Linked DNA regions of Stegostoma tigrinum. Each later gene encodes a partner of the first gene's protein in a complex. Links are inferred from orthologs where the notes say so. Each region holds a gene or a part of one and is shown in the gene's direction. Other genes may lie near its edges. The genes, in order: guanine nucleotide-binding protein G(i) subunit alpha-1, lpar1, free fatty acid receptor 2-like and chrm4a.

What was found.
Region 2: the proteins of guanine nucleotide-binding protein G(i) subunit alpha-1 (region 1) and lpar1 are in contact, whole or in part, in a cryo-EM structure (PDB 7YU7), measured with the Homo sapiens proteins. The link is inferred for Stegostoma tigrinum from reciprocal best matches to the Homo sapiens genes GNAI1 and LPAR1. Residues at the interface, in NP_002060.4 of Homo sapiens: Ala31, Arg32, Leu194, Gly217, Val218, Thr219, Tyr320, Gln333, Phe334, Phe336, Asp337, Ala338, Thr340, Asp341, Val342, Ile343, Ile344, Lys345, Asn346, Asn347, Leu348, Asp350, Cys351, Gly352, Leu353, Phe354; in NP_001338326.1 of Homo sapiens: Ile84, Tyr85, Arg146, Thr149, Val150, Arg152, Met153, Gln154, Leu155, His156, Tyr225, Tyr231, Val232, Arg235, Thr236, Arg238, Met239, Thr252, Ser255, Leu256, Thr259, Arg314, Asp315.
Region 3: the proteins of guanine nucleotide-binding protein G(i) subunit alpha-1 (region 1) and free fatty acid receptor 2-like are in contact, whole or in part, in a cryo-EM structure (PDB 9NS9), measured with the Homo sapiens proteins. The link is inferred for Stegostoma tigrinum from reciprocal best matches to the Homo sapiens genes GNAI1 and FFAR2. Residues at the interface, in NP_002060.4 of Homo sapiens: Glu28, Ala31, Arg32, Glu33, Val34, Asp193, Leu194, Phe336, Thr340, Asp341, Ile343, Ile344, Lys345, Asn347, Leu348, Asp350, Cys351, Gly352, Leu353, Phe354; in NP_001357016.1 of Homo sapiens: Gln40, Ala42, Val44, His45, Glu106, Arg107, Gly110, Val111, Pro114, Val115, Tyr117, Lys118, Leu119, Ser120, Arg121, Arg122, Phe202, Met206, Gln209, Pro210, Leu211, Val212, Arg216, Arg219, Ala220, Leu223, Ala224, Phe273, Ser276, Ser277.
Region 4: the proteins of guanine nucleotide-binding protein G(i) subunit alpha-1 (region 1) and chrm4a are in contact, whole or in part, in a cryo-EM structure (PDB 7TRK), measured with the Homo sapiens proteins. The link is inferred for Stegostoma tigrinum from reciprocal best matches to the Homo sapiens genes GNAI1 and CHRM4. Residues at the interface, in NP_002060.4 of Homo sapiens: Arg32, Leu194, Glu318, Tyr320, Phe336, Asp337, Ala338, Thr340, Asp341, Ile343, Ile344, Lys345, Asn347, Leu348, Lys349, Asp350, Cys351, Gly352, Leu353, Phe354; in NP_000732.2 of Homo sapiens: Asn67, Arg130, Cys133, Val134, Pro137, Leu138, Pro141, Ala142, Ile218, Ala221, Ser222, Ser224, Val226, Arg394, Lys397, Val398, Thr401, Ile402, Cys456, Asn457.

Annotation. Positions count from the first base shown.
Region 1 is NC_081378.1:25,784,713-25,791,544, forward strand, and holds the start of guanine nucleotide-binding protein G(i) subunit alpha-1, read left to right. Parts: upstream 1-3,812; 5' UTR 3,813-4,121; coding exon 4,122-4,239; intron 4,240-6,832. UniProt on the Homo sapiens protein: Guanine nucleotide-binding proteins (G proteins) function as transducers downstream of G protein-coupled receptors (GPCRs) in numerous signaling cascades.
Region 2 is NC_081356.1:31,129,485-31,136,417, reverse strand, and holds the start of lpar1 (lysophosphatidic acid receptor 1), read left to right. Parts: upstream 1-3,920; 5' UTR 3,921-3,942; intron 3,943-6,717; exon of another isoform or gene 6,718-6,933.
Region 3 is NC_081394.1:5,993,430-6,000,506, reverse strand, and holds the start of free fatty acid receptor 2-like, read left to right. Parts: upstream 1-4,071; 5' UTR 4,072-4,193; intron 4,194-5,004; exon of another isoform or gene 5,005-5,083; intron 5,084-7,077. UniProt on the Homo sapiens protein: G protein-coupled receptor that is activated by a major product of dietary fiber digestion, the short chain fatty acids (SCFAs), and that plays a role in the regulation of whole-body energy homeostasis and in intestinal immunity.
Region 4 is NC_081370.1:1,508,626-1,515,701, reverse strand, and holds the start of chrm4a (muscarinic acetylcholine receptor M4), read left to right. Parts: upstream 1-4,074; 5' UTR 4,075-4,461; intron 4,462-7,076. UniProt on the Homo sapiens protein: The muscarinic acetylcholine receptor mediates various cellular responses, including inhibition of adenylate cyclase, breakdown of phosphoinositides and modulation of potassium channels through the action of G proteins.

The DNA of each region.
Region 1 (6,832 bases):
CTGTCATACATAATTCCAGATTCACCACGTTCCGACATGAGCAATGACAAGATAACTGTTTTTAAAAAAAAATGACCATGAAAAATTGAGATTCTTGATTTTGAGGAAAAAGAGGTCAATTTTCCACATGAGGATTTAATGACTAGATGAGAATCTGATTAGCCAGTGGTGAGGGTCTTATTTGCATATATTAACATCTCATTATTACTTAATCCTTCTTCATTTATATGCACATTGCAATTTTCCCAGCCAGGAGTAAAAAATAGTATAGCAGCAATTCTCAGTATGAAAGTCAGTGCAGTTACTTGGTGGCTGCAACTTGCCGATGTCATTTTCGTGACTCTAGTTTGACCGTCATTCCCAGCATCTTCAGGTATGCTGCATGGGTGGTGAAAACATGCATCCTCTATCCAAAGAGGTTGGCATTGGTAAAAGAACAGCATCACCACATCACAATGGCATATCTTAGACTCATTTATTTGACATTCAGCACTTCAACACCATGATGCGACAGGCAGCTATCTCATGCATTGGAACAAGATACATCTCGGGACTCTTAGTTTGCTTTCTTATAGTTCATTTGCTTTGCAACTACTTCAATGCTTGCAGCATCCCTGCATTGCCTTTTTGCACATTGCCACTTAATGAGAACTTGTATACTCAAACTATTTCCATCATAGTTTGCCTTTTCACACAGACACAAAGCAAGATAACCTGTCATGCCAGCAATAATCAATCAAGGGAGTGGACATGTTGCTGTATGGCACTATGCTACATCAGTCTGGCACTTACACCATATGCTAATAGCTTATGGGAAAGACATATTTGAATCATTTAGAAGAGGAGGATTCTGGGTAATCCAAGACCAGGAGACTCATTGAGGAGCTGGGAAAATTCTTCCTAATGTAAGCTTTTGAAACCCTAACACTGATCCCTGTGAGACTCTAATAGTAGCGGCTTGCCAACACACACACACACTATTTTCTGTTTGGTAATGAATCTTTTATCCATGCTAGTATGTTTCCTTGACACCATTTGATCTTATCTTGAACAGCAACCTGATGTGGCACATTATCAAATGCCTTTTAGAAATCTAAATATATCACATACACTGGCTCCCTTCTATCCAATGTGGGTGTTACCTCATCAAAAAAAATCTCATAGTTCAGTTACGTATGACGTTCCTTTTTAGAAAGCAATTCTACTCAAATGTTGAGTGACTTTCAAAGTATCCTTGCTAAAATCTCATTATTAATGGATTCAAGCAAATTTCCTATGACAGAAGCTAATCTAAATGCCCTATAGTTTCCTTTATGCTTTTGTTCTTACTTGAATGTTACATTTACTACGCTTTCATTTGCCTAAACCCTTTAAGAATCTAAGGAATTTTGGCAGATAATAGCCAATACATCTTCCACCTGGGCTGCCACTTCTTTTTAAACAATAGGATGCAGGCCTTCTGCTCCTAAGGACTTGTCAGCCTTAAGATTTTACTTTACAGATTTATTTGGTAGTTAGCAGTTACTTGTTTTCTCAACAGCGGTAAAGAAGACACCAAATTTTAGCTCCCTAGAATTTTTCAGTTTCATGCTCAAAAGTCATGAATTACTTTTTACTATTTGACCTAATATTTTCTAATACTTACCACTTAAATTGTAATCGAACTCTTGCTGTATATAATCCTAAAACATTTGAGCAACTTTAAGTTCACATATATTGCTATATATTAATCATTACTGCTAATGACTCCTATCAGATTGAACCACGTCTTTAGTAAAACACAATTTATTTTTGTGTATATTTCTATTCGGATGAGATTCATTATTTTGCTCACATCAGTGTTCTGCCTTAGTAGTTCTCTCTGTTCAAACACAACAAATATTAGATATTATGTGGATTTGTTAATTTCCTAATTTCTTATGGCATTTAAAATTCAAGAACAAAAATTTAAAAGTAACTCGGACTTACTACTGTGTGAAAAATAACACAGCACTTTTTTTTTAAGATTAGATTCCCTACAGTTTGGAAACAGCCCTTTGGCTCAACAAGGCCACAGCACCCCCTTGGAACATCCCACCCAGGCCCATCCCCCTATAACCCACACACTCCTGAACACTGGGCAATTTAGCATGGCCAATCCATCTAGCCTGCACATCTTTGGACTGTGGAAGGAAACCGGAGCACCTGGACGAAACCCACGCAGACACTGGGAGAATGTGCAAACTCCACACAGACAGTTGCCCAAGGCTGGAATTGAACCTGGGTCCCTGGCACTGTGAGGCTGCAATGCTAATCACTAAGCCACTGTGCTACCCCAAATGAAAATGTAAGTTTAATACTCTCTCCAAGGAACCAATCAACATTATGAAAGAACATTATTTTGTTCCTTAAGAGTATCGACTATTCATTGATTTTCCTGGTCAGCAGTTCTTTACATTATTACCATATTCTCTTCAGGCATGCGTACAGTGTGAGTAGGATTGAGGCAGGAAAATGGTGTGTCAACAATGGTGGGCTAAAGGAAGGGAGGTTTAAGAACTTCTGAAATCAGAGGAAGCAAAAATAGCTGGAGGTTATTACAAAGGTAAAGTAAATATGTCATAGCAGGAGTTAAAAATGATGATAAAGGCTTTAAGTTTAATATTTTGGGGAAATATGGAAACATTCAACGAATGCGAAGGAAGCTGAGTAAGTGGATAGGACACATTTATGGAGAGTAGTGCATGATAGACTAGCAAGCGAGTATATGAATGGTCAAGCCTAGAGGATGAAAAAAAGGGCTGAATAGGGTTAGAAGGAAAATAATGTTACGTTGTTGAGGAAAGCATTCTTTATGGAGGAGATAGCACAATACATAATTCAAGTGATGTCCTGAAAAGCTCTTATGACAATTTCTCTGGTTTAGCCTGAGAGAGTTATTGGATTGGAGTTGGAGTTAGAACCTACTTAATTTGCTGAGTTTAATTTGTGATATGCAAAAGATAATGTGAGCTATGGTTCACTTGGTAGCACTTGTACCAATAGTCGCAAGATTCTGGGTTCAAGTTCCACTCCACATTTTTAGCACAAAAATCAAGACAGACACCATAGTGACAAACTGGAGTCCTATATTTGTCAGAAGTGTCACCTTTTGGATCAGACCAAGTTAAACTGAGTCCCCATCTGTTTGGTCAATGTAAAAGAACTTTACATTGTTTGGGTTAGGGTTATTTGGTAGAGATGATTCAGTTAGATGAATAAACTGTTTCTGTTCTTACGTCTTAATAGTCACATGACCTATATTTTGGAACTATTTTAAAAAACATGCTTATCTCCCCTACCCTGGCTGATTATAAACATCGCCTTTTTTTCGCTGTGAACAATCACATTGCTGTTTGTGGGAGTTTGCTCTGCTCATAAGTTTCCTACATTGGTCAGTACATTTCGAAAAGTACTACTTCGGCGTAAATTAAGTTTGTCACGTGGTTGTGAAAAGCGTGATAGAAATGCAAGTGTTTCTACGTTGATTTTTCTCCAGTCAGTACGGCCCATCTGTATTAAAAGACTTGAAGTGGGGACAGGGCCGGATAACTGAGAATGTTAGCACAGACAGACAGAATAAGATGAAAAGATGGGGTGAAGAGTTAGACGCCAGAATGGAAGGGGTGTGTGACACGGAACATCCAACAGCCAACAGCAAAAACATATTTACACAGGTCGGAAATCGGCCTTTGTGGCTGTTGCCATGGGTTACCAGCCGCTTCCGTTGAGGCGATGCAGGCGACGCGGGTCTGACATCCGGGTCCCAGCGCCAACACGGTGTAGTACCGCGCATGCGCCGCAAGCGGATGGCGATCGGGCAGTTGTTGTTTGGCGAAGAATAAATAAATGAATCAGTCACTTGATTAATTTATGAGTTAGAGCTTCGGGGGGTGGTAAGGGGTATCGAACTGCAGGGAGGAGCTGCCTGAGGCTTGTCCCGATATCCCCGGGCGACTTTTTCTGTCTTCTTTTTCTCTCCCCACCTAATTTTGAAAGTGTTGCCTGGTTTCTGGGGAAACGGAAGCCACTTGTGTCGGGGGGCTCTGAGAGGAAACTGCTGCTCACTTGGAAACGCACGGAGAGAAAGCTCAGCCAGCAAAATGGGGTGCACGCTGAGTACCGAGGACAAAGCGGCGGTCGAGAGGTCCAAGATGATCGACAGAAACCTGCGGGAGGACGGGGAGAAAGCGGCGAGAGAAGTCAAGCTGCTGCTGCTGGGTGAGTGCGAGTCGGGGTCTGGAGGGAGAGGCTGGATCTCACCGACTCGATGGGGGGGGGAGCGAAAATGGCTCTTCACTATCCCTGCTGCCCGCATCCGTTCTTAGACCGCAACATCTAACTCACGCTGTCATCGCAGCAACTTTTTTTTAAATGCTGGGTTCACTCTCTTCCCCACACCCCCCCCCCCCCCCCGCTACCTGCCGCATAACCACAGTTTTTTTTTCGAGTATTTTACAGGTTTAGAGCTTGCTATCACGGCTTACCATCCAGTCTTTTTCTCTCATTCCTCCCCCTGTTTAGTACCGAAACAAAAACCGTTTTAATTAAAAGAAAAGGATGCTGGAAATATGAAACAAACACGGGAAACGCTGGAAAAATCCGGCAGTCTGGCAGTGGGAGAGGGGAAGAGTTGATGTTTCGAGTTTAATATCACACTTGAGTCATATTGGATCGAAATGTTAACTCTTTGTGTCTCCTCAGAATTGTCGTTTTGCCCAAAAGCATCAGCAGCGCGCAATTTATCTTCTGTCCTGAATGCCCAATAACACCAGCTGCCGCTTATTTTATTGCCGGCTAAAACAGAATTTGGATTTTAAAATGTACAGGAAATGAAACAATAAGATATCGCTACTTTTTTCGGTCTGCTTTGGTTAATTAAGAAAGTTTCTTATAAACCATTAACCAATTGCGCGATGTGTTTTTAACTTGCGCTAACATGCTGCTGGCATATAATAAAATCGGTTGCCGAAACTGAAATCTCATACGTCTTAGTTTCATTAAAAATTCAAATCTTGCGCGCATCTTCTTCAAGGTTTAGACTTTTAGAATACACAATGGAGGTAAGCAGACAATGACATGAAGCATTTATTCATGAGGTTTCCGCGTTTAGTGAAGCTTAATTCTCTGTTTGATCTCGAGTAAGAGCGTTATGGAAAACCTATTTGCAAGTCGTCTTCACGTGGAGTATCTCGGTTTACTGAGTTCTTATGATAGTTTGATTTACTATTAAACATCACAGATTTTGGGTGTGTTTATTACTTGAACAATTATTTCTCGTTTTCAGGAAGCAGCATTGCAGCATTCATGATGTAAATAGTGGGAAAATACGTTATGCATAAATTCGTAAACATTTGTTTCTACAGATCACAATTTAAAAAGAAATGACCTTAATCGCAATTCATTATCCTGGCAAAACAATGAATAGTGAATATCTAAGCAAATCTAAACGTCTTTCTTTATGCACTTATTGTTAATACCATGGATTAAAACTAATGCCTTTCAATTTTGTGGTTTTAATATTGCATCCTGATGGTGCTATCGCTTGTCTTTTATTACATATTATAATTAGGATGATAATACAGGGATTCTGGTGAGGTTATTTTTAGTGTAAACTATGACTGTGTATTTGTTGTGTTTCAAAGCCAGTTTTCCAAAGGGAGTTGCCTGTTGAAAATTGGGAGACTCTGACAATCGAAATGTAGTTCTGTACATTGCTAGCTAATTTCAAGGTTCATAATGAATTACCTAATGAGACAGCTTTGAGATGTGTGCTTTGCTATGTCTTTTATTTATTCATTTCTCCTGTAATGAGAGAACATGTCTTGGAATAGTTTAGACAGATCTGTTAACACGTACTGTATTTGTTATAGCAATTGAGATTGTAACTGATAATTGGAATAGATAATGTAATAGCATTAGACTAGAACAGTGTTGTCCAATATGTTAGCTACCTTGTCAAATGAGCAAATTATTAAAATTAGCAATATAAACACCGTTGAGCATGTGATCTCAGTGCTCTTATTGTCATGGAGTATCTTCAGTTGTCACCAGTTTGTGCATTTTTTGGTAAAGATATAGAAGCCAAAGAGTGTGGATGATTTTTGGTTGAGTGTAGTAAACTTGGGAATGGAGCAAGAGATGATGTGGCCTATGAAGCCTGATTTGCCATTTGCTATGATCATAGCTGAACGTTAGGATAAACCTTCAATTTCTCACCTATTTCCTATACTCCATGATTACATGCAAAATTAAAATGCTATCTGTTTTAGCTTTAAATATACACAATGACGGAGCGTCCACAACTGTCTCAGCTGGAGAGTTCTAAGGATTCTTAAGACCAAAGTGGATAATGTCACACTTCTCTCAGTATACTCCATCTGTCACATTGTCCACTCATGTAACCTGTTCAAATTTTTTTGCAGCTGCGTTGTGTCCTTGAAACAACTTGTTATCCCACCTAGCTTTGTATCATCAGCCAAGTTAGACAAAGAGAAATGCATCTAAATCAAGGATGTAGTTTCTAAGTAGCTGATGTCCCAAAACTGATCCTTATGACTCTCCACTAGCCCCAACTGCCATCTTTCCTTGCTTTTCGCTGTTCTGCCCATCTTTATATGTTGCTCCCCCTCTCTTGTGTGTTAACTTTCCATGTGGCACTTTTTATTTGATACCTTTTGAAAATTGAAATATGCAGTAAGTTCTGCCAAAATGCAAGTTTTGTTAACAAATAGGCCGTAATGAGATTGTTGATAACGCAAACTTTTTGCTGTACAGATACAGTGATTCTCCTATAGCAATTTCCCTGTAACGC
Region 2 (6,933 bases), on another chromosome or scaffold:
AGCATCCCACCCAAACCCAGCCCCCTACCCCTTTTCCCGCTAACTCACCTAACCTATACATCCCTGAACACTACAGGCAATTTAGCCTGGCCAAACCACCTAACCTGCACATCTTTGGACAGTGGGAGGAAATCAGAGCACCCGGCGAAAACCCACATAGACATGAGGAGAATGGGCAAACTCCTCACAGATGGTCGCTCAAGGCAGGAAATGAATCCCAGTTTCTGGCACTGTGAGGCAGCAGTGCTAACTACTGAGCCACTATCTATAATCTCTGGAGTTTGGGCAAAATGATCTCACTAAAACATTCAAAATTATTAAAGGGCTTTACAGAGTAAACATTAAGTTGTTACTTCCCATGGGCAAAATCATAAACAAAGGGGTACATTCTCAGAGTAAGGATTCATTAGGACGACAATGAGAAGTAATTTCTTCTTCAAAAGTCTATAAATCTTTGGAATTTTCTACCCCAGAGGACTGTTGAAACATTGTCATTAAATATATTTCAGACTGGGAAATACAGATATTATACAGATATCATATAGTACAGTTAAGGCTGTTCAGCTTGTCAAGTCTGTACTGTGAAAAATATTCTACTGCACTAGTCTCACTTCCCAGCGCTAGACCAACAGCCTTGAATGTTCAAGTTCAAGTATAAGTTCATCCAAGTACTTCTTGAAGGTTGTGAAGTTTCCTGCCTGAATTATCTTTCCGGGCAGCGAATTCCAGACCCCACCATCCTCTGGTTGAGAAAGGCTTTCCCCTATATAAAAAAACCTCTTGCCTTTCACTTTAAAATTATGTCCCCTTAGTGGCCCTTTGACTAAGGGGAACAGTCACTCTCTCTTCACCCAATCTATGCCTCTCATAATCTTATGCACATCAGTCAGGTCCCCCTTCAAATTTCTTGGCTCTTAAAAAAAAACCCAAGCTTATGAAACCCAGGGAAATACTCCATCCCAACTAATGTGTTGGTTAATCACCTCTGCATTCCACTAATGCAATCACATCTTTCTTATTGTGGGGGGGCGGTGACCAGAACTACAAACAGTACTCCAGCTGTGGTCTAAGGAAAGTACTCTACAACTCTAACATACCCCCCTGCTTTTATAATCAATATCTCAACTGATGAAGGCAAATGACATGTATACCTTCTTAAATACCCTATTAACCTGTCCTGCCATGTTCAGTGATCTACAGACAAGCATCTCAAAATCTCTCTGTTCCCTGAGTTTTTGGGTGTCCTACCATTGATTGGGTACTCCCTTATCTTATTATTTCTTCTGAAGTGACTCACCTTATATTTATTAGGATTGAATTCCTTGTGCTACTGATCGGCACACCTGACTTTCCTTCTCACTGTCAATCACACGGCCAATCTTTGTGTCATCCACAACCTTACTTACCATTCCCCTGTCATTTTCATGTATGTCTTCTCTGAATATCACAAACAGTGACTGATCCCTATGGATTCCCACTGGACACCAGACTCCAGTCTCACAAACATCTTATTCCAACCTCTCCATTTCCTGCCTCGAAGCCAACCCAATATTGGAACAAATTTGCCAAATTATCCTGGATCCAATGAACTTTTACTTCCTTTATCAGATTCCCATGTGGGATTTTGTCAAAGGCCTTGCTGAAATCCATGTGAGTTAGGCACACACATGGTGCTGTTGGGAAAGGAAGTCTGAGATTTTGACCCAGTGACACTGAAAGCATGGCAATATTTTTCTAAGGTGAGAGGATTAGAGAGAAACTGCTGCTGTTGGCCTTCTGCAGCTCTTGTGGTAGAGGTTGTATGTTTGGAAGATGCTGTCTCTGCGGTCTTGGTGAGTTGTTGCATTGCATCTTGTAGATGGTAGATACTGTTGTTATTGTGAGTTAGTGGTGGAGGGAGTGAATGTAGAAGGTATTAGATGGAGAGCCAATCAAGCAGGCTGCTTTATCCTGGATGGCATTGAGCTTTTTTTTTAGTATTGTTGCACTCATTCAGACAAGTGGGAAGTATTCTGTCACACTTCAGACTTGTGTCTTGTAAGTGGGAACAGGCTTTGAGGAGTCAGAAGGTGCGTATTCACCACGGGATTCCCAGCCTCTGATCAGTTCTTGTAGCTAGAGTGTCTGAAAGACCTGAGGAACTGCTGCAGAGATGCCCTGGACCTGAAATGACTGACCAGGTGCCACATATAATTCCAACTAGCACTGAGTTTTCCACCCAGTTCTCATTGACTCCAATAACAAGGTGTGGAGCTGGATGAACACAGCAAGCCAGGCAGCGTCAGAGGAGCAGGAAAGCTGACGTTTCGGGTCTGGACCCTTCTTCAGAAAAGAAAGGTCCAGACCTGAAACGTCAGCTTTCCTGCTCCTCTGACGCTGCCTGGCCTGCTGTGTTCCTCCAGCTCCACACTTTGTCACCTCAGACTCCAGCATCAGCAGTTCCTACTATTTCTCATTGACTCCAGTTTTGCCAATACTCCGAGATGCCACACTCAGTCAAATGCTGTCTCAGGAGGTCAAGAGGAATCATTCACTCAGCGCTTCTGATCGAAAATGCTCACAATTACTTGGCTTTTGGCCTGTAATGCAAGGTATTGAGGAAAGGAATTTTTGTGGCATCTCCTCCTCCAGTGAGTTGTTTGTCCGTAGCCATTCATAACTAGATGTGGCAGGATTCTAGGGCTTAGACTTGATCTGTTGGTTATAGGGTCACTTAGCATGCTGCTCAAGCTGCTTGCCAGGGATATAGTCCGACATTGTAGTTTCATCATGCTGACACTTCAATTTTGGATATAGTTGGTGCTATATGTACATGACCTCCTGTGGTAGTGCCACAGAACATGATATAGGGTGTTCTGACGTGAAGGGGGGCCTTTGTTTTCTCAAGGACTGTATGGTCATTACTCCAACTGATAGTGTCATGGAACAGGAAGCTAGGTGAGTACGAGGTCAAGCATATTTTGCCTACTTGTTGGCTCCCTCACCACATGTTACGGTCCCAGTTTAGCAGCTTTACACTTTTGGACTCACCTAGTTCAGTGAACAGTATTACTAATGAGCCAGTCTTGGTGCTGGACATGGAAGTCCCCCACTCAACACATTCTGTGTCCTCGTCAGCCTCGGTAATTCATTCAAGTGGTGATGAACATGGAGATGTGCTGATTCATGAGCTGAGGTGGGTGAAGTGTACACAGTAATCAAGAGGAGGTGTCCTTGCCTATATTTGATCTGATGCCATGAGACTTCATGGGGTCTGGAGTCAATGTTCAGGGTTCCCAGGGCAAATCCCTTCTGACTGTACACCACTGTGCCACCACCTCTGATGGGTCTGTCCTGCCAGCGAGAGACTTGGCAGTCTTTTTACCAAATGGAAACAGCACAACAACTGAACCTCATTGTGTCTTCACTCAATCTCTGTTGTTCCTGGCAGGCTGAACAGAGTCATCAGAATTGGAAACCAGGCCTGTGTTTGCTTAATTCACGGCCTGATTAATTTCAACATCGATAACCGTTGAATAGGGGCAGAATTAGACACTAATACAAACTCAAACCAGCAGGAAATGTGAAACAAAAACTGAAAATGCTGGAAGTCCAATCTGGCTGCAACTGTGGAGAGAGAGAGAGAGAGAGAGAGAGAGTTCGAGAATTGATCTTTGAGGGTAAAACCTTTAATCAGATTTACACAACAAATAATAACAACAGAGGGAATATATCCAACAGGAAGGCCAGGATTCTCCACCTTTGAAAAGACAGGAGTGGGAGAGGTGACCTAAAACAAGTCTTTAAATTGTTGAATGGAATTTGATTGGTCAGGCGCAGAGAAGATATTTAAACAGTCATTGCTAATAAGGTCTGTAATAAACCCAATCAGGAATTCCAGAGAAACCTCTTTATTCAGGGAACGGTGGGAATGTGGAAGTCACCGTGGCTGAGAAGCTTGAGGTGAGTAACCTTGGTGCTGTTATGGGAATAAAAACACAGAGAAAAGAATAGCCTGGCTTAAACAGAGTGGGAGGCTAAGCATGTCGCGAAAAGATCCGTTTCTGTGCTGTAAATTCGCTGTAAGTCATTGGCCAGTTGCCTCTCCTGCACTGTCTGCAAGAAATGGATTGGCAATTGAATCGCTCCAAGGCCATCTGTTTTCATGCATAATTTCCACATTAGACTTCCCATTTCAGTCTTATTACAGAGGAGGAGGGATAACTAGTCATTTTACTGTTCCGTTTTACCTCAAAGCTTCTGAGGCATCGAGTCACTAACAAGGAGTAAAGGAGGCGGTCTCACGGATTGAACAGAAAACGCCTTCTACAACAGAAGCGTTTTAACGAGTGACCGTGTGCTGCAGAGCTCGGAGCTCTACAACGCCTGGACCGAGAATTGAGAAAATAAACTTGGGCTCAAAACGTTCGATGTTTTGAGTTTTACGAGTTGGTGTTTTGCACTTGTGTTTTTTTTATATATAATCAAAGCTAGACGAAACAACTCCCTCGCGAATTTTACATGCAACTGAGCTTAACTTTTTTTTCTAATTTGGGAACGTTAACCTTGCAAACACTTAAAACATGCAACTTCATTCAATATTCCTTCCTTTATATGATATGTTAATCCTGTTTGCATATTACTTGCGACAAACTATTGACGACCTCAAATAACTTTTTAAGAGGTTGGGGGTGAAATAGGAATGTTAAATAAAACAAAATCCTCATTCACCAATTCGCTATCTTTTCTTCCACCCACTTATTATTTACAGGGCTGACTATAAGGTTTCCAACCTACACATACAAGACATTCAATGAGAGAGAAATAGAAAAGAAAGGGCGGTCATTGCCAAGTTGACGAATCCGGCCACGTTTTCCAGGATAAATGAAATAACATTTCAGGAAGACTTTTTCTAAAATAAACCAGATGAACAAATCTGTCTTCCCCCTTCGTGCCCCAACCCCTATGTGAAAAATACGATTAGTATTTAAAATAGAGGTGGGGAGGGGATGGCAGTTTAGACTTCGTAAAACAGAAAAAGGTGTATGTATATATTAACATCAGGCAGCGAGCAAAATGTGTTAGTAATTAAGACCCAGCCTGCTGGCGGCACGGGCCTGACGTCAGCAGCAGGCTCGCCCTGCTCAGGGAAGCCGGATCTCAGAGCGGCACACACACAGGGCAAGCAGTGCAGTGTGGGCACACACACACACACACGGGGCAAGCAGTGCAGTGTGGGCACACACACACACGGGGCAAGCAGTGCAGTGTGGGCACACACACACACACGGGGCAAGCAGTGCAGTGTGGGCACACACACACAGGGCAAGCAGTGCAGTGTGGGCACACACACACACACGGGGCAAGCAGTGCAGTGTGGGCACACACACACACGGGGCAAGCAGTGCAGTGTGGGCACACACACACACACGGGGCAAGCAGTGCAGTGTGGGCACACACACACGGGGCAAGCAGTGCAGTGTGGGCACACACACACACACGGGGCAAGCAGTGCAGTGTGGGCACACACACACGGGGCAAACAATGCAGTGTGGGCACACACACACGGGGCAAGGAGTGCAGTGTGGGCACACACACACGGGGCAAGGAGTGCAGTGTGGGCACACACACACACACGGGGCAAGCAGTGCAGTGTGGGCACACACACACGGGGCAAGCAGTGCAGTGTGGGCACACACACACACGGGGCAAGGAGTGCAGTGTGGGCACACACACACACGGGGCAAGGAGTGCAGTGTGGGCACACACACACACACAGGGCAAGCAGTGCAGTGTTGGCACACACACACGGGGCAAGCAGTGCAGTGTGGGCACACACACGGGGCAAGCAGTGCAGTGTGGGCACACACACACGGGGCAAGCAGTGCAGTGTGGGCACACACACACACGGGGCAAGCAGTGCAGTGTGGGCACACACACACGGGGCAAACAATGCAGTGTGGGCACACACACGGGGCAAGGAGTGCAGTGTGGGCACACACACACACGGGGCAAGGAGTGCAGTGTGGGCACACACACACACACGGGGCAAGGAGTGCAGTGTGGGCACACACACACGGGGCAAGGAGTGCAGTGTGGGCACACACACACACGGGGCAAGCAGTGCAGTGTGGGCACACACACACACGGGGCAAGCAGTGCAGTGTGGGCACACACACAGGGCAAGGAGTGCAGTGTGGGCGCACACACACACAGGGCAAGGAGTGCAGTGTGGGCACACACACACACACACAGGGCAAGGAGTGCAGTGTGGGCACACACACACACACAGGGCAAGGAGTGCAGTGTGGGCGCACACACACAGGGCAAGGAGTGCAGTGTGGGCACACACACACACACACACACGGGGCAAGCAGTGCAGTGTGGGCACACACACACAGGGCAAGGAGTGCAGTGTGGGCGCACACACACACAGGGCAAGGAGTGCAGTGTGGGCACACACACACACACGGGGCAAGCAGTGCAGTGTGGGCGCACACACACACAGGGCAAGGAGTGCAGTGTGGGCACACACACAGCAAGAGACAGAGAGGGGAAGAAGCGAGCATGGGAGCTGAGCAGGGGGTGAGAAAACGGCGTAGGGCGGGCGCATTTCGAGGGTGCAGAGGAAAATAGAGCGCAGTGGGAGTGCACGCGTAGAGAGACCAAGGAAAACGGAGTCGTGTGACCGCAGAACGAGAGACGCGGGGAAACAGGGCAGTTTGGGCTCGGGGAGGAGAGACAGAGACCCGGGAAAAATGGGGCGGAGAGCGTAAGAGGTTGGGATAAAGAGTGCATTGTGGGCGGAGACAGACTGGGGAAACAGGGCGCAGTGTGAGCGGAGCTACTGTCTGCTTAAGACAGTGAGACGGTCTTTTCATTCAGACATTTAAACCAGAGCCAGCATTTGCTTCGAGAAGGTTGTGAAAGTATAAATTGCTCTCGCCTTGTGTG
Region 3 (7,077 bases), on another chromosome or scaffold:
GGTGTAGGGGGCTGGAGGAGGTTATAGAGATAGATAGGCAGGGATATAGGGTCTGGTGGAGGTTACAGACATAGGGAGGGGTGTAGCGACTCAGTATCGTCCCAATTATTCCTCCGGTTCCTTAGCATGTAATATATTGGGTGGCCATGCGAGGGAGCACTAGGCTTAATATTCATTCTTTTATTTTCTTACTCGGGGACTACGGGGAGACGAGGCTGTGAACAAATCTACATTCAAAAGCTAAACAGTGTTACGTTTAGAATACTTTTCTTTTTCACTCACCTTTTTTCCGTAGGTAACAATGCAATAGTCAATTCTACTTTGTTTCTGATCACATATTGTGACAGTGCAGTACTCCCTCAGCACTCACGTTACGACAGTGCAGCATTCCCTCAGTACTGACCCTCTGTCAGCAGGGCACTCTCTCGGTACTGACTCTCCCACACTGTGGCATTCCCTCAGTACTCACTCTCCGACAGCGCAGCACTCCCTCAGCACTGACCCTCCGACAATACAGCCCTCCCTCAGCACTGACTCTCTGAAAGTGCAGCATTCTCACATACCGTCTGACAGTGCAGTACTCCCTCATTCGTGACTCTTCGACAGTGAGGCACTCCACCAGCAGTGACTCTTCGACAGTGAGGCACTCCACCAGCAGTGACCCTTCGACAGTGAGGCACTCCACCAGCAGTGACCCTTCGACAGTGTGGCACTCCACCAGCAGTGACCCTTCGACAGTGTGGCACTCCACCAGCAGTGACCCTTCGACAGTGTGGCACTCCACCAGCAGTGACCCTTCGACAGTGAGGCACTCCACCAGCAGTGACTCTTCGACAGTGAGGCACTCCACCAGCAGTGACCCTTCGACAGTGAGGCACTCCACCAGCAGTGACCCTTCGACAGTGTGGCGCTCCACCAGCAGTGACCCTTCGACAGTGAGGCACTCCACCAGCAGTGACCCTTCGACAGTGAGGCACTCCACCAGCAGTGACCCTTCGACAGTGTGGCGCTCCATCAGCAGTGACCCTTGGACAGTGTGGCGCTCCATCAGTACTGACCTTCTGACAGTGCGGTACTCCCTTGGTACTGGCCCTCCCACACTGTGGCACTCCCTCAGTACTCACTCTCCGACAGCGCAGCATTCCTTCAGCACTGCCTGCGATGAGTTCCCACATGTATTTTGATCTGCAGCAGTTGTTTTCTGCTTTGTTTCTCTGAGTGAACAAGCAGCTTTCCCTGTTATCTATCTCAGTCTCTGTGATGACAGTGATGTGTAGACTTCAGTTCGGACCAGCTCCAGAAGTTATGGTCTTGTGATCAGGAGACTTGATCAATTTCAGGAGAAGATTTCAGTGAAATTATAAACCAAATCCATCCTGTATTAACAAGGTGTAGAGCTGGATGAACACAGCAGGCCAAGCAGAGTCAGAGGAGCAGGAAGACTGACGTTTTGGGCCTAGACCCTTCTTCAGCATTCCTGCTCCTCTGACCCTGCTGTGTTCATCTAGCTCTGCACCTTGTTATCTCAGATTCTCCAGCATCTGCAGTTCCTACTATCATCAACTGGTGTAGTTCGCTTTCCCTATTATTCTCTTATTGTCTGTGAGGTCTTGACATTTTAGCATCAACTCCTCGATATTTTGTGACCATATCTGAAATACCCTCTAAATCCAAAACTTACAGAATGCCTTTATTGTGCAGATGGACATTAAACCTTGGCCGGCTGCAAATAAATTAATTAATTTCAGTTAATATCTATTAAAGTTTGTTCAATTTTCCTTACAAAAGCCATTTCATTCTCTTCATGATTCTGAGTTACACCTATCAGCACACACTTAACATCCCTTGTCACTCAGAACAGGCTAAATTGTTCAGGTAGTTTATACATAAATAGGATTTTTTGGAGAGAAATGCACTGCTCATCATCTTACAATGGTTACCTCCTTTTAGTTGGTTAAACTGGTGGTCTGCATTGCTGGTGAGGCTCTCGTTGGCTATCTGACCTTCAGTGCCCCTTTCGAAATGTTTTGGAGAGCCATACCATTGATGTGACTGAGCCACCCCTTTCTGAGAGCAGTGAGCATGAAGTCAACAGACACTTTGAGGCAATTGAGATTTGAAATTCTCCTTAGTTCAAGATATTCGTGAACCACAGATTCACCTGGACAGTTAAGGCAGAGAAGGAGGCTGTTTGGCTGTTGTCTGTGCTTGCGATCCCTGGTTTGGAAAGGAAGCTACTCCCATGCACTACTTCTGTACCCCAGTGGCTCAGAAGTCACTTTCCCGTACAGTCACACAGCATGGAAACAGACCAGACCACACCAAACATAATCCCAAACTAAACTAGTCCACCTGCCTGCTCCTGGCCCCTCTCCCTTCAAACCTTTTGTATTCATGTATCTATCCAATAAACTTTTAAACTTTGTAACTGTACCCACATCCACCAATTCATCAGGAAGTTCATTCCACCCACAAACCAACTTCTGTATAAAAAAAAGCCTCGTAAATCTTTCTCCTCTCACCTTAAAAATGTGCCCCCTAACCTTGAAATCCCTCATCCTACGGAAAAGACAATTACCATTAACTGTATCTCTGCGTCTCATTACTTTATAAACTTGTATCAGGTCACTTCTCAACTTCCTGTGCTCCAGTGAAAAATGTCCCAGCCTATCCAGCCTTTCTTTATAAACTCAAACCTTCATACCCAGCAACCAGTGGACACACCACTCCAGAAGATGCCTCACCAATGTCCCATACAAACTCAACATAACTTTCTAACTCCTATACTCAAAGGACTGAGCTTCTGGCAATGATCCATTTTCCTTTCAAAAGCTTCAACTGAACCTACCTCCACCACCCCCTCAGATAGAGCATCCCCACATGCATATCAGTTGCTGTGTGAATTACTGTGCCCAGTTCTGTTCACCCCGTTATAGGAAGGATGTTATTAAGCTGGAGAGGGTTCAGAAGAGATTTACCAGGAAGTTGCCATGTATGGGAGGTTTCAGTTGTAAAGAAAGGCTGGATAGGCTGGGACCTCTTTCAGTGGAGCTTTCAGTAGGAGCTTGATAGGTGACCTGATAGAAATTTATAAAATAATGGAGGATTCAAGGGTAGGGGACACATTTTTAAGGTGAGAGGAGAAAGATTTCAAAAAGTCATGAGGGACAATTTTTTTTTACACAGAGACTGGTTTGCATGTGAAGTGAACTTCCAGAGGAACTGGTGGATGTGGGTACAGTTACAACACTTAAAAGACATTTGGATAAGTGCATGAATATAAAAGGTTTGGAGGGATATGGGCCAAGCACAGGCAGGTGGGACTAGTTTAGTTTGAGATTATGGTCGGCATGGACTGGTTGGAACGAAGGGTCTGTTTCCATGCTGTGTGACTCTATGAATCTATGAAAAATTGTGATAGGTTTAGGAGTAAGCAGTTGCTTCTGTTGCAACATGACGTTCCAACTTCCATACTCAATGCAGTAACCAATGAAGGTGAGGTAGAATGTATTTTTCAATGCAAGTTGTTGCAATCTGCAACATTCTGCCTGAAACAGCGGACTGAGCAGATTTTACAGGAACTTTCAAAAGGGGGTGGCATGATGGAATCATTTAAATACTGGGAGAGGAAATATTCACAGAGGCAGTGGCAGGAGAGAGAGAGAGACAAGGAGAGACACCATACCGATTGCAGAGATCTTGCAAAGAGACAGAACTTGTTTGCTGGCCTGAATGGCCTCCCCCTGGAAAGCAGGATAGCTATGGCCTTACTGCATGTGGAGTACAGACACCACATGCAGTCATGTTGTCAATTCTTGGAAATAATTTGCACAGGGAATGGAGCCAACCCACCAGATAAACACACATCCTTCAACAAACAGTTCATCAGAGTTCCTGTTGTGCTGGTTTTGATGGTAAATATCAGACAGTAACAGGAAATACAGGATTGTGAATTCATTGGTCACATATGGTCAGACAGCAAGAGACAGAAAGAAGGAAACACGTACATTCAGCTAGCACCTCCCACCCCCTCAGGACATCCTAGAATAAAACAAGCAATGATATAGTCAGGGAAGATGAAAGGCATTAAACCGAAAGGGAGATACAACACTGAGGAAGCACAGAACTGTTGGAGTGGGGGAGCGCCTCACTGTTGGAAAGTTGGTGCGGAGGGAGTGCCACACTGTCAGAGGGTCAGTACTAAAGTAGTGCCGCGTTGTCGAAGGGTCAGTGCTGAGGGAGTGACGCACTGTCAGAGGGTCAGTACTGAGGGAGTGCTGTACTGTCGGACGCTCAGCACTGATGGAGTGGCACACTGTCGTAGGGTAAGTGCAGAGTGAATGCCGCACTTTTAGACGGTCAGTGTTGAGGGAGTGCTGCACTGTCAGGTTATCAGTGCTGAGGGAGCATCGCACTGTCAGAGGGTTATTGCTGAGGCAGCAAAGCACTGTGGAGGGTCAGTACTGAGGGAGCGCCAGTGCAGAGGGAATGAGGCAAGTATTGGAAGGTCAGTACTGTGGTAATGCCGCACTGTCGAAGGGTCAGAGCTAAGGGAGCACCGCACTGTTGGAGGGTCAGTGCTGAGGGAGCACCGCACTGCCAAGGGTCAGTACTGAAGGAGCGCTGCACTGTCGGAGGGTCAGTACTGAGGGAGTGCTGTACTGTCGGACGCTCAGCACTGATGGAGTGGCACACTGTCGTAGGGTAAGTGCAGAGTGAATGCCGCACTTTTAGACGGTCAGTGTTGAGGGAGTGCTGCACTGTCAGGTTATCAGTGCTGAGGGAGCATCGCACTGTCAGAGGGTTATTGCTGAGGCAGCAAAGCACTGTGGAGGGTCAGTACTGAGGGAGCGCCAGTGCAGAGGGAATGAGGCAAGTATTGGAAGGTCAGTACTGTGGTAATGCCGCACTGTCGAAGGGTCAGAGCTAAGGGAGCACCGCACTGTTGGAGGGTCAGTGCTGAGGGAGCACCGCACTGCCGAGGGTCAGTACTGAAGGAGCGCTGCACTGTCGGAGGGTCAGTACTGAGGGAGTGCTGTACTGTCGGACGCTCAGCACTGATGGAGTGGCACACTGTCGTAGGGTAAGTGCAGAGTGAATGCCGCACTTTTAGACGGTCAGTGTTGAGGGAGTGCTGCACTGTCAGGTTATCAGTGCTGAGGGAGCATCGCACTGTCAGAGGGTTATTGCTGAGGCAGCAAAGCACTGTGGAGGGTCAGTACTGAGGGAGCGCCAGTGCAGAGGGAATGAGGCAAGTATTGGAAGGTCAGTACTGTGGTAATGCCGCACTGTCGAAGGGTCAGAGCTAAGGGAGCACCGCACTGTTGGAGGGTCAGTGCTGAGGGAGCACCGCACTGCCGAGGGTCAGTACTGAAGGAGCGCTGCACTGTCGGAGGGTCAGGGCTGAGGGAGTGGCACACCGTCGGAAGGTCCATGCTGAAGGAGTGCTGTACTGTTGGACCGTCAGTGCTGAGAATGTCTCACTAATGAATATGGAGACTTGAACTGTGCACAATTCTCCATGTGTCATCTAACCGCAGGATATTAAATACATAAACCGCATGCTGGAGGATCCCAGTGATGATGTTTGAAGAGGCTTTGACTGATTCTCTTTCAGCACCGTCCTGCAGTTAACCACCAGAGAGAGAGAGAGAGCAGGAGAGAGTCAGGAGGAAGAACAGGGATGTTGGAGAATCAACAAGATTAATGCCATCGTCAAACTAATAGCCAGATAATCGAATAAATAGTGTTGTGCACACCAGCTGTTCCCAGAATTTGGAGGGACACGTCATGCTCTGCAGCTGTTCCTGGGAACTGCCTTTCACCAACACAGACTGGTGATTAATTTATGAAATTAATTCCATTGTCAACATTTCATTGGGATCATGAATGATCACATTGGTGCCTCTTCACTGTGTTTCCACAGAAACAAAGGTCACGATTAGCTGCTTGAGGCACTGAGAGAGTAAATCTAACAATAATGATTCAGCACCTCTCTGTTTATCTCAAACCCTGTCACATGTGTATTCAGTTCAGAAAAATCTCTTGTTGCCTCAATGAATAAACGAAGCTTTCCTCGGTAAATTCCACCTCAAGGGAAACCAAGTTGTTGTCTGTCCCACTCAAGGAAGGCACAAGATCAATGGGAGTTGCTCAGAGGCTATTTGGCCCACTGATTCTGCCCCTCCCCTGCAAACTCTGATCTTCTCCTACCCCCAGTGTCTGGAATGTTCAAAGAAGCAAACGTTCCATCCTATTCTCTCAGCCATTCCATCCTCTAGCACTCAAGAAGTTCGCAAGATTGAAAATCTTGAGCTGTAACCTTGAGCCTCCCGTACCGCAATTGAGATCTGTAGCACAGGAAAGGCCTTTTGGCCCATCTGGTCTGTACTGGACTAGAAACAAGTGACTAACTATTCTAATCCCATTTCCCAGAACTTGGCCTTGTGTGCTTTGGCATTCCAAGCGCAAGTTGTGATAGCACTGTGCCTTGAAGAGAGATGTGTTCTGTACTGTTTCTCTTGGGCTTGCCACTGTGGTATCAGAATATATGCTTCAGAAGCAGTGGGCAAACAACTTTTTTTTTGTAAATTAGACAGAAGTAGCATGAGTAGGCAGAATCAGGTTCACACAGACCCAGCTTTTTAGCTTTGCTTTCTGCTGGAATTTCGGCAGTTAAAGCTGATAAATACAACTCTGTCTCTCTCTGCAGTAGCAAAAAGCTCAAGACTTCTCTCTGCTGCTAGACTGTTTCTTTTGCTGGTCCTTTCTCCTGCACTGGAGAGAAAGGGAACATGCAAGAAAACCTGTTTTGCTGAATTTGCCTTTGTCAAGGATGCGCTTATGAGATGCTACCTCTATTGGAATAGTTGATGATTAGTAGTTCAATAATTTATTTAGTACTTCAATAGAATTAATGTTACAGCAATTCTCTTTTTTATTTTTGTGTTTTAGTTATGTGTAAGAATAAAGTGTATTTCGCTTAAACCTAGCCATGGACCAAATAAATTACCACTGGAACACAGCACCTTACACTTTTAAATGAGATAAATTAGGGCCCTGGCTAACTCCTGACTA
Region 4 (7,076 bases), on another chromosome or scaffold:
TCTTGCGCCCCCTCTCCACTTTCTCCCGCAACCCACCCACCCACCTTGGGAGCCGTCACATTTCTCGCTCTGTGTAGTTTTCACGTGGATCTGACATCGCCGTGCACACCCCTGACGCTGATATTTTCTGCAGCTCTGATTTAGTATTTTCAACAGTTATTTCTCACCATCACTTCGACTTCAACCGCCCTCCCCAGGTTCAAGTACTATGTCTCCCGTGAATTTCTCTGCATTTCTCTCTCACTCTGTCTGAATTTTCCACATTCTGCAAAACCCTTTCTGTTCAGCAAAAATGGGCTAAATCGGGAATACGGCTGAATCCCATGGCCCTTGAAGCAGCAAAGTTAATTTTCAATTCCGTTACACGCGAATGAACCATTCCGCATCTCCCGCGAGAAGAAATCTCAAACAAAGAAACGTCAAACAAAACACTCGCCACGACATCTCTGTTTGTCTGTTCTCGCTGCCTTGGGCTATAAATCGGGAATATTTACAGTCTATCCTGCCCATCCTGTCAGGCAAGTAAAGCGTCCTGCATTCGCATAAACCAGACAATTCAGAGAAGTCCCCGCCAGCTACACTAAACTTCATCCCGAAGAGGAGACTTCTTCAAAACCTAGTACGTTCTTGTCTCTGTGTTACCTTTGTCATCGTTCAAAAAAAAAACCCGAGTTGCTTTATCCCCAATTGCAGTACTGAATTATAATTAAACGTCATTTATCTCAGATGCAGGCTTCCGGAAGATCATTTGAAAGTTTTCCACGCCACTAATTTAATGTGGACGCCCGCGGTACTTCAGAATCATTGTTTACCCACTTTGACAGTTAGGTCATTTCATTAAAACATTGACTTTATTTAACAAGAGCGACGGGGGAGAGAGACAGTAAAAGATAGACACAACAGAAACACAACTATCTTGACCACGGATATCACGACTCGGCGGTTCTCTCAAATACATTCGTTTGTTATAATTCATCTCACAGTGTTATATGAGTTGACTCGCCCAACGCTGTCCAAATAAAGAGAAAAATAAGGACTGAGCGACAGTCTATGGACGAGTTGAACAATCAAAGAATTGTTTCATCAATAATCAATTTCAATGATTTGTCCTTGCCCAGCAACTGTTCCCCCCCCCCTCCAAATTTAAAGAAAAACTTGCCACATATATGCACTTTTGCTCGAGATGGCGCAAGGTTTTACAGAAATAGCGCCCCTTTGAAATGAAGACACTATAAATGTAAGAACTGGAGCACATCAGGTAACAAAACAATCTGTTTGCTTAGCTGTTTGATATCTTTTGGTTAAGACACCGCTGAGAATTCTCATTAACCACCTGTTTTTAGACCCAGTTGAGAGGTAGAAGAGGCCTTCGATTGATCAAATAAATCCAAAGTTAGAATCTCCCGCCTCGCACCATTCTCCCACTGCTAGCCTGAAAGTGCCAACCTGAAGTACGTATTCAAATCAAGTGGGTCTTGAAACCACATCCTTCTCACTTAGAGGTCACAGCGCTCTGACTGACCTGAGATTGATATCTATTCACTTCGTATTATGTTTTCTGTAGACCTATGGACATGACTGTGTGTTGTGGTTCAAACTGAGACGTCGCGGCGCTTTTAAGAACTGTTGCGCGAATTCAGTGTGCGAGACTGCGTTCAATTTTGCAGAGATAGTTGGAACTGCCGATGCTGGCGAATCTGAGATAACACGGTATAGAGCCGGATGAACACAACAGGCTAAGCAGCCTCGGAGGAGCAGCAAAGGCCTCGACCCGAAATGTCAGTTTTATTGTAAATGGGGCGATGTCAGCACCACGGGCAGCGACATGAGCCTGAGTCCTTGTCCACGGTGCTGAAATGTTGATTGCTAAACAAACTTGCAAAATACAGGGACTGCGTCAAGAAGCTCATTGTATGGTGCGGTGAAAGTAGCAATATGAAGCACAAATAGATCACATTCGTAAATAAATCACACACGAGGCCAGCCCATGAAACTGAGAAATAAATTACCGAGGCTAAACAGCCCAGTTTTTGCTGAATTAATGCAGAAATCTAACTGTGACGATACATGCAAGGAAGGCTTCCTCTTTGGAATCGTTCAGGGCTCTGTGGGGCTTTACATTAGGGAATATTCATGGTTGAAATACATGCAGGTTAATCAGGAGTGACAAAGAATATTAACATAACAATTTCCCTGCACTGTGAATGTATAGATTTGCAAGAGATTCAATTACTTTTGTAGTCTGTCAGCTGTAATGTAGACAAAGATGACTGAGAGATGTCTAGACCTCTTTGCAATGTTGCCTGTTAATGGACAGAGATAGCATGCACGCATCAATCAATAGGGTCTAACTTTACTTATATCAAATATAGAGGCGAGGAAGATTGGTGTATTCAAGTAAAAGTCAGAAAAGCACATGTGGAGGAAATAAAAGGGTTTTGCTGACAGACTTAAATAAAGTAGGGCAAGAGGAAACTCCTTTGCAGCACAGAGCACCACTGAGGTAGATTGAATAATGTGTGAGCTAGAAATGCTATGGAAACCAGGATGGCTACTATTCTAAAGAGCAATATGCTCACAGTGTTGGTCGACTCTCTTGGGATACAAAAATGTCATTCATTTAGAAATACAAATTTTCCCTTCCTAGCGACTTAACCTCCTTCTCCTAAACACTCCTCTGCCCCCACCAACCCTGTAATAGAGACCTTTATCAACCTGACCACATGGAACGAGTATAAGATTATAAAAAAAGGCTGGTGCAGACTGATGTGACAGGAGTTTTGAGGTTGGATTTGAATTAACAGTAGGATTAGCAAGAGGTAATTTCTGATGTTAGGATTAGGATTAAGGGTAGCCTCGGCACTCAGTGTTTCAGTGCACTGGTTACAGCTGGGGGTTACCTGTCAGAGAGGGGTTAACAGAATTGACACAAGTCTCTTTAGAGACTTAAAATTGTACTTTTGCTCTTTGCAGGAAGTGCTACCTGCTTAGTTGTCGAGGTGCTCCCACACACTTCCACTAACAGGATGCATGCTCATCCCTGAATGATGAAAACATTGAAGATTTTAGAAGGTCCTAAATGATTTAAAGAAGAAAAAAAAACAAATTTTAGCTTTCAATGTAAATAATTTCCAAGCAACTAGTTCTGAAACTGTGTTTATTGTAAACAGATCATCGGATCAAAGGCAAGCTTGTAGGGTCTCACTTTGTGCCCCTATACTTAGCCATCGCATTCCATACATGCTCTTCTCTCAATATGAATCCCATAGTCATCCCTTGATACACACATTTGTTCAGTGCTGCATTGTTATGACTGCCACTGATGTAGGGGTAGCAGGAGGCTCTGAATGAAGGAGATGGGAGGCTGGAGTGAAAAGAAATCAAGTGTGAGTAGCCAGTGCCAAAATTCTTGGCTGCCTCGGCTGACCTGTGCCCAAGGGTAATTTCAGGGCAACAGTTTCTACCCAGCCCCTGTCCTAACCCTTGTCCCACACCCTCTCCCAGGTCACTCGGAGCCGGGGTGATCCACAACATGCACACAGAGGTAGTGAGGCTGTGAAGTAAGAAAGATCTTCACAAAGTCGAACCACTTTCTACGACGGGAACACCCGCTCCCCAATTGCAATCGCACATAAAACCGCACATGGCTTCATCTCTATTCCGTTTTGTGAGCTTTGGACATTTGAGTGCAGTGGGCATGTCGCCTAGATATGTGCTAACTTTCACTGCTCTATCATCCCCTGACTTCACCTCCCTTCTATCTGCGATGTCAGCCAGCACTTCCATTCCCCGCACTGCATCCCACCTCGCGCCCCCCCCCCCAAAAAAAGGATACACAGACTTCAAATTTGTGAAGGGTGCAGAGAAAAAATAAAAGCAATTTGGCAGCCGATTATTAAGAACCCCGTAAATCCTTGAGCCTGGATAATTTAATGGTCCCGAACCGCTCCAATTTGACAGTCCTCAGCGTTAAATAGCCTCTGTGCTTGGTGGGGGATTAATGTATATTCTAACCTGGGGATGGGGAGACTCTGATGATTGGCTGCATTTGCATTACATCACCGCTATTGGCTTGCCGCTATTTCTCTGGACTGAAGAAAGAGTCAGTGATTTAACGGGGCGGCATCACATCCTCCTCAGTCTCCACCGGCTTTCCCAACGCGGCTGAATGGGAGCAGGGAAGTCTATTCCCTAGCCCCCTTAAAGGGCGGCGACCAAGTAGGGCGGACAGGGCTGGGCTGGGGCGAGACGTGTCCTTCCCCAAGAGTAACTCAGAAAATGTTCCAAAAGAGGTTCGACAGATGCGCGAAGAATTTGTCCGTAACTCCCAGCCAGCAGACGGACTGGCAGGTAGCGCAACGATTCCAGCTCCAACAAGTCCTGGGCAAATCCTCCCAAGGATTGTAACCGTACTTCAAGAGTTCTTACGATAGCAGATATGGAGGCGGCGGAGTGTTTCAAGTAAGTGCTGACATCTATTACCTTGCCCGTCAGGTTGTCTTCAATGCCCGCTAGCTATCCGCGCTGCGCTCGGTCAGTGTGTGGCTTCTCGCTCAGATGATGCTTCCTTTTGGAAGTATTACAGAAACACGCCTGAGATTGGTATGCGGGCTGCCGTTATCTTGTTCAGCGCCCGAAACCGAACTGAGAGCTAAGTGGAAGTTTCCTACAACTTTGAACCTTACGGGAAAATACAAGGTTCTTCTGATCGATCAAAAAGCGCGTTTGTCTCTTGAGATGCCTGCACCGTTCTTTCTCATGTTCTCACTGATAAAATACTAGACACACCCTTCCCAAGTCAAAGCAAATCTTTTAACCATAGTGAAAACGTACTTGTCTTGGTGGTCTGCTTTATAAATAGCAGCAGTATTTGTTTGGTCTGATCTCTGATATTTCGTGTTTACCATCAGGAGAATGAAACCTGTAGACTTTTACTAGTTAAGATCCATTTGATTTACAATGGAAGTTGTATTCTGTTTGAATCACCTGAATGTCATGTTGACAAAGGCTTCCCCTTTATTCTTACTTCGTAAGTTAATTCAAAACTGGTTTGTAACTTAAAACTCCTGGATCCATCATATATTGAGTTTAACGTAATTTGAGTTATTTTCACCCTATGTCAGCTTTACATAAGCTTGCCTCTCATGATGTTGGGATAATGTCCAATATCTATGACCAAGTTTCCCCTTCAAAATTTCCAGCAACCAAGCCACCAGGAAAATTGCTCTTAACTTTGGCAACTAACTAACAATGTTGTTTTCTGATTGCATGGTGCTTCCTAGCAAATTTCACTGCCCGAATTTGAAACGGGGGGTTAAAGTGTAACATTCAGATCCAAACAAGTATAATTGATGGAGAATCTCATTTCCTGGAAATGATCACTACACTGGATCCATCCGGTAGCGCAAACAAGCCTCAGGTGAATGGATTAGACAGCAAGTAAAAACTAAAATTTTGAATGAACTCTTTACTGTAATAGTCCACAGCAACCTTAGGATCACCCTTAGTCCAGGTCAGAACCATCTCATAAGTAATTCACTTAAGTCCAATCAGTGAAGCAAGCTGAACATCGTGGATCCAACAATGAGTAATCAATCCACCTGTTTCAAAAATCCCTAAACACTAAGACACCCCAAATCCATCATTAAAGCAAGGAATAGATGGTAAGACTCGCTTCACAGTCAAAAGAAAAGCAAATACTGTACAGTCCAGCTGAACTCAATTGTCAGCAATCAAACCACAATGTATATTAACTGCAGTCAGGAGTCAAGCAGAAACAATCTCAAAATTCAAAAACACTCTAACCTTGCCACAAACATCTCTTGATCTCTCGGTTCCTAATGTAATTCACAGAATTCCAGTTTTTTTTAAATGAACTGGTCCATATTAAACAGTCTTTGATGAGACTATATCAAAGCAAACTGGCTAAGAGCACTCCCAGCTTACACAAGCATACTTAGAGCATTCTGTAGATATGTTACCATTGGTTTATTAAACTTACATAAGACTATTTTATGTGTGATTAAAAGCCCATCTAGAACAAATCCTGTACTTAATATATTTGTAACTAATACCAAAGGGAATACACTCATATCTGATTGCAAATTACTGGAGGTGACACAAGGAAACTATATTTGCACAGTAGTTTGTTGTCTTCTGGATTGCACTGCCTGGAGCTGCCATGGAATCACTTCAACTAAAGTCTTGAGGGTAAAGAATTTGCAGGGTTATGGGGGCAGGTAGGACAGAGGGATTAATGTGATAAGCCTAGCATGGGAACAAAGGGCCCAATAGCCTCCTTACATGATTATCCATGAAAATAAGTTATTTCAATTTGTCTAGAGATTTTCAACCATAACTGCAAGGTGAAAGAATGAGACTCTGCACTTGTAAAACTTAATTTAATCACCAATGAAACTGTTTGACAGCAATAAATATTTATCACACAACTTCTAAGGTATTTATACTGAAAAGGAAGAACCCTTACAATTTTTGAAGTTTATAGATATCTATGAGGTGAGGATAAGAGTGTAATGCTGCCCAATTTATGTAAGTGCTGTGCCAGTTGGCAAAATGGTAAAATTGGGAAGCTTATGAAGAAATTGGGCAACCCTGACAGCAACTTCCACATTCCAGCAATTACAATCACAGTGCGTATACTTTTTGTGTATAAATTATGGTAAATGCTGTTAAGATCACTTGCATTTCTACATCAAAATCCAATCCAATAGCTTCCATGAGGAATCCAATTTTCAGAAATACAACTTCTCAGTCTATAACACTTGTCTAAAGAGGGACAGCTCAAAGTAAAAATAAAAGAAACAAAAGCTTCGATCAAGCTTGCCCCCATCAATCAGAAAGTCAGTTCCAATCTTAAATTGACCTGCTTGGCTCTAATCTTGAGTTCATCATCAACTAATCAACGGATAACAGCTTCAATGTGGAAACAAACCTGTTCACATGCTTAACATTCATCTCCCATTAAAGGTCACCCTCTACAATGAATAATCTTAGCTCCTCATTGACCCAAATGTTGACATTACCCCTATCTGGGAATGGCCCCATTAAATCTCATG